Coturnix japonica: one gene and its partners. The protein of the gene in region 3 interacts with the protein of the main gene of each other region in a pairwise test. Links are inferred from orthologs where the notes say so. Each region holds a gene or a part of one and is shown on either strand. Other genes may lie near its edges.

Evidence for each region.
Region 1: the proteins of LMTK2 (region 3) and PPP1CC interact in binary tests that used the Homo sapiens proteins (3 or more experiments, as listed by UniProt). The link is inferred for Coturnix japonica from reciprocal best matches to the Homo sapiens genes LMTK2 and PPP1CC.
Region 2: the proteins of LMTK2 (region 3) and MYO6 interact in a two-hybrid assay, tested with the Homo sapiens proteins (2 studies listed by BioGRID). The link is inferred for Coturnix japonica from reciprocal best matches to the Homo sapiens genes LMTK2 and MYO6.

What each region holds. Positions count from the first base shown.
Region 1 is NC_029530.1:5,178,940-5,181,530, reverse strand, and holds the end of PPP1CC (serine/threonine-protein phosphatase PP1-gamma catalytic subunit), read left to right. Parts: intron 1-221; coding exon 222-356; intron 357-793; coding exon 794-883; 3' UTR 884-2,046; downstream 2,047-2,591. UniProt on the Homo sapiens protein: Protein phosphatase that associates with over 200 regulatory proteins to form highly specific holoenzymes which dephosphorylate hundreds of biological targets.
Region 2 is NC_029518.1:73,466,934-73,470,683, forward strand, and holds the start of MYO6 (unconventional myosin-VI), read right to left. Parts: upstream 2,546-3,750; 5' UTR 2,475-2,545; exon of another isoform or gene 2,357-2,474; intron 1-2,356. UniProt on the Homo sapiens protein: Myosins are actin-based motor molecules with ATPase activity. Unconventional myosins serve in intracellular movements. Myosin 6 is a reverse-direction motor protein that moves towards the minus-end of actin filaments.
Region 3 is NC_029529.1:1,153,479-1,157,228, reverse strand, and holds the start of LMTK2 (serine/threonine-protein kinase LMTK2), read right to left. Parts: upstream 2,668-3,750; 5' UTR 2,481-2,667; coding exon 2,354-2,480; intron 1-2,353. UniProt on the Homo sapiens protein: Phosphorylates PPP1C, phosphorylase b and CFTR.

The DNA of each region.
Region 1 (2,591 bases), on a different chromosome or scaffold from region 3:
AACAAGATGGCTTTCAACGTCACAGAACTCTGGTGGCTTTTATTGCTGATGGACCTTGTTGAGCTGGAGCTTGTGATGTTTTCCCAGTTTGGGGGTGAAAGTCTAGGACTGGTGCTCCTTGGCTATGACTGTTTCTTCAGCTGCTGACTCTGCTAGAGCTGCGTTTCACTGTACTTTGTCTGGAGGAAATTGCCTGGTGTAATTTGTGTTTCTCTCCAAAGGTTGTGGAAGATGGATACGAGTTCTTTGCAAAAAGACAGTTGGTAACTCTCTTTTCTGCCCCAAATTACTGTGGAGAGTTTGATAACGCAGGTGCCATGATGAGCGTGGATGAAACCTTAATGTGTTCTTTTCAGGTATTGTATCTGACAACTTTACCTCCCAGTTATTGCAGTAACACTTTGTTTCATCTTTTCCATTTATACTGTGCCATCGCACACCTGTAACACCTGCTTCAAATAGATCTCACGTATTGAGTGTAGGCAGAGCTGTGTTTGCCCTTGTGGCTTTAAAAATGTGATAAGCCCTTTCTGGTGTGAGTAGATGAACTGTTTGACCCTGGGATTAAATAGCTGGAGCAAAGCTATCAGCTGTCTTCCTGCTTCCATTGGCATGGGCCCTCTGGTCAGCTGCTCTCTAAGCCCCAACAGAGCTCAGAGCAGAAAACCCATTTATTTCAGAGGCTTATGAGCTGCCCAGATGATCTGCGTAGCTCCTTACACGACCAAATGGGCTGTTGAGTGGAGTGTAGGGCAGCCAGCACTTTGCTTAATGACTGAACTGTCTTTTTCAGATCCTGAAACCCGCGGAGAAGAAAAAGCCCAACGCCAGCAGACCTGTAACGCCTCCCAGGAGTATGATCACAAAGCAAGCCAAGAAATAGTCCACGTGGCACTGCCTGGTTGGGACTTGTATTATAATATATAACCTTCCTTTTTAAACTGTAACGTGTACTGTTCAGCTTGCTCACAATAGAACGTGTTTGTGGTTTCCCTTTTGATTTGATGAATGGCATTTGCTGGTTGTAACAGCAAATGAAGGACTTTTCTCCCTTCTAAGAAAAAGAGTTTTAGGCTTCCCTTTTGTTGGTGTTGGGCTGCACGCTCCGCAGCATCGATCCTGTCATGATGGGTAACCGTACGACTGACTTTCTCAACCTGTACAATTAGTGTAAATGCTTGTTTTCTCCTTTAGGATCTAAAGAGGGCACTGGTGTGCTGTGAGAGTAGAGTTTGTTACTGTTGGAGATGACTTACTGTTTATACAAACCACTGTGAACTTTTTTTTTACGTTCAGATTTGTTTTAAAGGGATTGCTTTTCTTTTTACGTCTTGTCCTGTACACGTTGGTTTTATCGCTGTCAGCGTTAGGAATAGCCTTCAACCTCCCCAGCATCACCGGTATGATGTATATTTAATGGAAACACACACATCCCTGTCCCAAAGTGACACCTAAAGCCATTATTTCAAGTGTTTGTGTCTTTCCTGAAGCCAAAGTCTGCATAGAAAAACTGTACGTATGTGACCCACCGCGCTGAGCTGGCAGGGCTTCCCATTCATGCCTTCCTCGCGGAGAGAAAAGGAAGTCTTGACTTGAAATAGCAGTAGAAATGCTGTGCTGTTTGTTCTATTATGGGAAAATTAAACACTTTTGTACAGTTTGTGGTATCCAATGGACTTGTTACGGTTGCATCAGCCCCGTGGCAGCCGTGTCACACAGCTGGAAGTTACAGGAACGGTTCCACACCTGCCTGAATGGCTTTGTGCATTTTGGCCTAAAGACTTTGCCCTATGGAGACGCCCAGGAAGCAGCTCGCAGAGCCAACCCAGGCACTGCTCAGCGGCTGGTGCAGGTACCTGACGGTATCTTCTTTTTTAAAGACTGAGAACCTTTTTTGAACAGATGACAGTGTACAATACCATGTAGTGAAAATCACTTATTAAACGACCAAGTTGTTAAATCCTCTCGGTGTCGGTTTATCACAACGTTATACACTACTGCTATCACAGGACATGACTTAGATAAATAAATCCTTCTGGAAACCCACACACTTCTGGTTTGATTTGTCTGAGCTGTGTCAGGGCTGTGCCAGGGGCTACAGGCACTCAGTGCTGTCAGGGTATCACTGAGACACCTGCCTTGTTGGCTGCCAGCCCTGCTCTGGCATCCTGCTTATCAGATCAGTTCTGTTCCTTTCCCCTGCAGTGAGCTGGACTTTGATGGGCCCTGCCCAGTGCATCCCAGCTATTGATCATCACACTTCTAAATGCGCTGCTCCGCTAAATGGAAGCGTTTCCCCACTTGGAAGATTTTGCTTTCTAAAACTAATTAATCAGAGTAGCCATGTAACTGTTGATGGCCCCATTAGATGAGGTGCTGGATTGCCTGCAAGAGGGCTTGCTCTCATCTCTTAAATCACACTGTGGTTTTCTTGATGGCTTTCTCATTTTTGGTCCACCATGTAAAACAGTGATGTACATCATTCCTGATCTGGTTAACAGAACATGCAGAGCCGGATCCCACTCGTAGCTAAAGGAATGCATGAACCCATCTGTGCAGCAGCACCCAGTGCCATGTCACACCTTGTTCCT
Region 2 (3,750 bases), on a different chromosome or scaffold from region 3:
GCTGCCTGTAGCACTGCACGCAGCCCTGCACACCTAGAATGAATACAAAAGCTTGGTAAACACATGACAGTGCTGTGCCTGCATCCCATCCCAGCTCCACCTGTGGCCAACCCCTGAGCCACAGCAGCTTTACAGGATGGGCCTCAGGGGAGTTTTCTTCCATGAATTCATCCGGTTGCTTTTTTTGTCCCTTTGAGCTTTCGGTATCCACATGCTTCAGAAAGGATTTCCAAAGCTTAAGTAGCTACACATTGGGTAAGTAAAAAACACCCTTTTGTTTGCTTTGAACCTGCCAGCTTAATCTCCTGCTTTGGCATTTCGTACTGAAAGCGACAGTAAAGAATTATTCCCTTCTCACCTTGGCCACATCGCTCACATCACCATACACTGTAATTCCTCTGCCAAAACATTTCAAGGTCTTTCTCAGATCAGCATTATTAAACACCAAGAGAGCATGAAGGTTAGAGGGAGTCACAAGGCTGCCTTTGCAGAACAGGCGTGGGGAGCCAGGAGTTGACTTTCCTTATGGGACCTTTATGGTTACTGTGTCCAAACACCGATGGCACATCCACAGGATCATTATGGTTACTGTGTCCATCAAATACCAGCAGGTAGCAATCCCAGACTCAGAGTTCAGGACAGGTTACACTCAGACACCCACCCAACTAGAAATACAAGGTGAGGGAAACAAGCTCAATTTGCAGTTTCTACAAGCTACTACTGAAGCGCTTCTTACTTCATGATGTCAGTGAGCCTTGCAGCAAACTTCTCTACCTTTACATTCACTCTGCGGGCTTTATAGCTTCAGAGGGACACAACTGTATTGCCACAGAATCATTTAGTAACTTACACAAATTAAAAGCACAGCCACTAAAAATATAGGCAAACTAAATCCTAACTTCTACTTTTGAAACCTCTCCTATGTTGTATTTACTAACCAGTGCTCCAACAATTCTGATGTTTACCATCCCACCCCAGCAATAAACTCTTACACTTTTATTCCTTGCAGTTACTTTATAAAACATATACTTCAAATCTAACCTGCACATTAGTACAGCTTTATGGCACTTGAGCAAGCATCATAAGGTGGCATTTGCTTATGCTTATACATTTCCACAAGTTTTATCATTTAATCGCTTCTATTGTCCCTCAGCCTTTACCCTAGCATTGTATTTTGTCTTGAGAAGACAGCAGAAGAAAGGCTGCAGGTTAATGTTAACTCAGGAGTCCATCCCTGCCCTTGGTTAATATGCCACACTTGGAATAAAGGAAGGTTGAACACAGTGGCCAACCTTTGTCCCCCAGCACCTGCTCACCCAGTCCATAGGCCATGCTGAGCCTGCAGTGCCAGCAAGCTACGGGATGGCTCCATGGCTTGATTTCCTTCAGGAATACAGTGGGATACCAAGGCTGGAGGCATGACATGCTGTAGAAAAGGGCTGACAAGCAGCAATGTTTAAATGAAATAATAGGTAACAACCACGCATTCTTGTAATCTATAAGCTTTTAATTCAGGTATTTCAATTTTATAGGTATCTGGTAGCATCAGGATTTATTAGCCAGGAATGTGATTGCCCAGTATCAGGCAAGCATCAGCAGTACCTACAGTAACACTGTGAGCCGTCTTCAAGTGACAGCTAACAAAGAAGACACTTTTAATTCTTCCTATTTAGTAACAGATGTAAATAGAAGAAGTCAGAGATGGGTTTCTGTAGCGTATCAGCCATAGGCACACACTGCTTTCCATAGGCAGCCTGCCACAGCACTCGGGCAGAAGAGAGGAGATGCACTTCACTGCAGTTCACACCATGCCCAGTTTTGTCCAGACAAGACCGCAAAGAGTTTCTTTCCTTTACGGGGACAATCCCAGGAGCACAGAATTGCTTTTGAAGGGAGTGTGGATAAAACTCAGCGTTAGCTGGAATGCACGGCATTATACAGAGCTACACTTAGGACGGCGGCGGGAGGGAGGAGGGATGTTTAATAACTTTTCAGTTAAGGAAGTAAGGAGAAAGCACTTTAGCCCCAGCAGCACCTGATAAGGCAGCTCTGGGATGAATTCCTCCTACGGGGAGCGCTCAGGAAGGCGCCCGTCAGACTCCGGCTCCGCTCGGCCGAGCCGGGGAACCGCCCGAGCCGCCGCCCCCCGCGGGGCTGCCGGCACCTCCGCGCATTCCCCGGGACAGGCCGTGCCCGGCTCCCGGTACCGCACGGCGGCCTCGCCCGGCCACTCCCGGCTCCGCCAACTCCCGCTCCGCGCTCTGCCCACCTTTGCTGCCGCAAAACTCCGCCAGCCCCTCTCGCACACACCCCCACCCGAAGCCCCGCTGCCGGGCCCCGCGGGAGCCGCCCGCACCTGCCCCGTGGCCGCCCGGGACGCTCCGGCGAGGAGAGGCCCCTCCGCCGCCTCCACCCGCCGCCGAGCAGGGCAGTGGATCCCGGCCTGCAGCACGGCCCCGGCTCCGCGGCGTTACCTGCTGCTGTGGCCGCCGCTCCGCTCCCCGCTGCCACCGCCGCGCCGCTCTGCGCCGCCCCCCGCAGCCTGGTCCGGCCCGGCCACCCGCCCGCACGTCAGCGCCACAGGGGCCGGCCGGGGGCGGGAGCTCGGCGGCGGGGGAGGAGGAGGAGGAGGAGGAGGTGGATGGGAAGCCGTGCCCGGCTGCCGGCCTGCTCCGCAGCCACAGCAGAGGTCAATGGCCTACGAGGCCGCAGGACGCCGAGGGTCGAAGCCGCCCCGCTCCCCTGGGCCGCTCACCTGCGTGGGGCCGCCTCACCTGCGGACAACACCGAGCCCTCACGGCTGGAGGCGGCGCTGCCGTGCGGGAGGGATGTGCTGGGGGCTCCTGGGCCTGCCCCAATAGCTGCTGTTCGATGGGGGTTCCCGTTGTGTTTGCTAGGAGTGATGTTTCATGCTTTTTTCGTCTGTCTTTTTTTGAGGAGCCCTCAGTACAACAGAGACACGGACCTGTTGAAGCGCGGCCAGAGGAGGGCCACAGTGATCCAAGGGATGGAGCACCTCCTTATGAGGAGGACAGGCTGAGAAGCTGGGGCTGTGCAGCCTGGAGAGGAGAAGGCTCCAGGGAGACCTGAGGGCGACCTTTCAGCATCTTAAGGGGGGCTACAAGACAGAAGGGTATAACACAGATGGTTTCTATTCTGCTGTGGGAAACCTTCAAAACTGGAGATCGCTCTGTTCCTTCCACAGGAGCTCCCCTTGTGTGCACCCTGCTGTGCTCACTGCCATCACTGCTATTTTCTGGGAACCCACAGACACACTTCAGCTCACGACATGGCAGGGCAAGGGCCACGGCTGTGCAGCATATGTACCGAGTGTCCCCCAACCTCTGCATCCCTTGAGTGGGATCAGTCTTCACCCTGTCCTGTCTGGTGCTGAGTGCCCACTCTACCCTCAAAGGCAAGGGACACTCAAAACACCTCATACTATATCTAATGAGCCCTGCAAGTGTCAACAAACACACTTCAGTCTGTAACCAGCCATGCCCTTCTTGCCATTTGCATTACCTGGTTAGGCTCGTGTCCTGGATCTCACTATAAATGAGACCACTTATCTTGTCACCCACGCTCCACTGTTTGTGTTCACAACAGAGATGGGCAGCACTGCATCATACCTGTGACGTGTGTCATGCAGCCCAGGACACGTATAGCCACCCCTTCTTAAGCACCCACATGTGAGCTCTGTGTCACCTCCCCCACCCTGGGTTTTATGGGCACGCCTGGCACCACCTGCTT
Region 3 (3,750 bases):
AAAATGAGAGAGAGAGTCTGAATTAGAATGTAAAGCTTTAGCACAGCAAAGCAGAAGTGTCAGATTATGATGCAGTATGTTTGTCCACAAAAATTACTGCTAAAGAGCATTTCTCACATAGAAATACATCAGCTACACTATGCTATAAAGGACGATCATCTTGGCCTGATGCACTCAGGTAGAGCACCTAATGCTCCACAGGCTCAGAACAGCTGAATACTTCATTCTACCAGCTGCTCCAAGCTGGAGCAGGTCAGGCCGAGCGGCCCCACAGAGGCAGGTCTCAGTTAGACCTGTCTGCAGCTCCAGCAGGTGAACTCTGGTACTCACAACAGTCACAGCACATCCCAGTACCTTCCCTTTCCCACTGACTGAACAAATTAAGTCAGTCTGTTTCTAGCTAGTAGCATCTTCAACATCTTGTTTTTCCTATTTTCTACAGTAATTGCTATGAACCATATCAGGGCAACGACAAAAACCTTCCTCTACCATTTCCTTTTTATTTTTTTCCTAGCAACTTCATAAATGCAGCCTCAAACATGGGAGACAAATATAGAACACGCCATCAGGGCACACCTTCATCTGCAAACACCGTGAAGACGTACCTAAAAGTACAAGCTGCATCATGATGAAGACACTTGGAACACGACGATTCCCCAGACACCAACTGCTGCAATTCCACAGTAGATCCACAAAACGGAACGTTTCTGAACAAGGAATCCAAGCCAGCCTTGCCAGAATCTGCCATCCATTGCCACTTCCTGCTCCCCAACTGCCTCCAAAAGAGAAATCTCTTCATCATGGGCACATTCCAGGAGCTGTTCCACAGTGGTCACTACAAACACCTCCCACAACATCTCCTTTCCTCCTTTTTCTGCTGAGCACCATCTTTCCAGCACAGCACTCGAGGCTGGGCACATCAAAATACTTCTCCACCATCAGAGAAGCAGCCCATCCTGGTAGGTGCCCAACTGGGGGATCATGAATTAACTCCAAAACCCATCACTAGTTTATGAAATGTCCATGAAATTATTCCTAACGTTACAACTCTTAAGCAGGAGGTTGTGTGTGTTGGTGAGCTGAGAGGGCTGCAAAGGTTCAGAGCGGGGTCTGTTATTTATTCTGAAAGTCATCAACGACTGCCAGTCCCAACACAGGAAATCAAAGCGACTTCCATGGGACACAGGAGGGAAAAAGTGACAATATAGCAGAGGCTGCTTCAAAAGTGCGATTTGCTTAGTGTGACTTCCCACTGCAACAGGTCTGTGACAGCATCAGAGAAGCTACATCCTCATCTCTGAGCTTTGGAGGATACGTGGTGCAGTCTTGATAGCAGAGCAATTCTCATTTCATGGGTTACTCTGAGAACACTCAGTGCCTGCACTGACACTGCCTTCAAACAGAAAAACCAACAACACTTCAGGACAAGAACAGACACCAAGAAGGAAAAGCCTGCTGCCCAGAACTGCTGTGCCCTCCCTCATGGCCTGACAACAAGGCAGCATCATTGGGAAATTTCTCACATATTTCATAAATGAGAAAGCTAGAATTTAGCCTCCAAGAAAATACAAGTGTGACCCAGGGCTCCTCAGGGCCTTCATTTCTCCCAGAACTTTCTTTTAGAAGGAGCAGCCTCGAGGCAGGCGGACAGAAGGAATAACTCATCAACAATGGAAATTGCCTTGGGAAGGAAACAAATGGCAAGAATGTAGGTCCAAAACCAAAACAAGGGTGGGATCCACATCCAGCCCTGATACTTTCTGTGGAACAGCAACCAAAGCGCTGAGCTTCACAGCTCCCCTCGCACTGCTGCCCTGCCCCGTCCAGCTGCTCCAAGCTACACCGACACAACTCAACCCCAGCGCATATCTGTGTCGAGCCCAACGGAATTCAGTCCCAATTCAATTTTACGTTCAGAAGTATCAATAAAGCACAAAAAAATGAGTGAATGATTGAGGCGACTGCTACCTATCAGAGCAAATAAACCTCCCCGCAGTGATTCGTGAGAATGGGAGAACGCACCGCCCGTGCGTGCCTTGAGATAAACAGGAAGACAAGGGCTCGAAGGCCGCCCGGTTACCTAACGCGGGGCCGAGCAGCCGGGACCGCATTCCCGTCGAGGGAAGCGCCGCCCGCCCCCAGGAGCCGCGGCCCCGGCGGGAGCACCGCATCGATCGGAGCGGGGGAAGCACGGCGCGATCAGCGCGGCTCACACGGGCGGCCGCTGCACAACAGGTCGCAGCGCGGCACGAGCGCAACGCGGGGTCTCGGGAGCCGCGTCCGCTCGTAGCGGGGCAGGACAGCGCTGCCTCAGCCGCGCCCCGCAGCCCCCGCGCCGCCCCCCGTGTCTCACCTGCTGCCGCCAGCGGAAGCGGAGCCGCCCGGCCGCTCCCCAGGAGCAGCGACAGCAGCACGGCCAGCCCGGCCGGGCCGCCCCCCCGCCGCCCGCCCGCCGGGACGAGCCCCCCGCGCCGCCTCATGTCCTCCGCCGCCGGGCCGCGGCTCGGCGCCCAATGAGGGGCTCGAGGCTCTCAGCGTCTCCGCGGAGCTCCTGCTGCAGCCGCTGCTCCCCGCCTGCGCGGCGCGGCCCACGCGGCATAGGCGTCCCCGCTCCGCTCACACGGCCCCTCCGGCCGCCGCCGCCGCCGCCGCCATCTTCCGGGCTACCTGACCGAGAGGGGCGGGCGCTCTGCTGACCGACAGCCCGCTGCGCCAATCGAAACGCGTCCCGTGTTCGGGGGGCGGGACCGCCGGTCGGGACCGGGCGGATCCGAGATTGACGGCCAGATCCGCCAATCGCACCGCACGGGGCGAGCTGGGCCCAGCGCAGGCTGCGGCGCGAGAACGGAGCGGCGCGTCTGCCAATCAGCACACACGACCCGCGCGGAGGGGGCGGGGCTTCCCCTGGAGTGAAGGAGCTCGGAACCAATCAGCCGGCACCGTGGGCATGGGGGCGGGGCTACGGGAGGAGCCCGCCTGAACCCGCGCGCGGGACCGACGGGACAGCGGGTCGGGCTGTGCGGCCTGGGGTAACTGCGCTACCAACGGCTCACATCTGACGTGTCTGAATCAGCTTTTCTTCCACCAGAAATATTTTAACTGGATAATAAGGTGGGAGACAATGTTCCGTTGTTTATTCTGCTCCTGCTAATGCTCGAGGTACTTTGTGACAGCAGCTGAGCAGCACGCCTTGCTGCGGCCCGTCACCTTCCAGAGCAGGCGCCAAGCCGGGCACTGCGCATCGCTGCTGTTGAGGTACAAACAGCTCATACCGCAGTGCAAATAGCGCCGTGTGCTGTGGGCACAGCTCAGCTCAGACACTTCTGAGATCTGACACTGACTTCATGCGAATTCCACAAGAAAATCACCCCGAGGTTCACAGCAGCTGCAGACCTGAAGCTTAAAGCTTCGTTTGCAGCCTGTCAGCAGGTTTGCAATGCAGGGGTGTTCTCATTTCAACAGCCAGAACAATTCAGTGCACTCTAAACACGGCAGACTGCCTCATTTCAGAGCCCGCCCTGTCCTAATTGAATGCTAAGCCTTTGATGTAACTTACTGATAACAACATGTTGTGATACTATCTGGGGAGTTACGGCACCGTGTCATTAAAGGACTCGTCAGAGCACTATGCTGTAATGACGGGACACGTAAGGTGAGCTGTGAATTAGTCACCGGCAGAATAAGAATGGTTATAACCAGCCCTTCAATTCCTTGTTCTGCCCTAGTCACAAGTACTGCCTATCTCCAAAC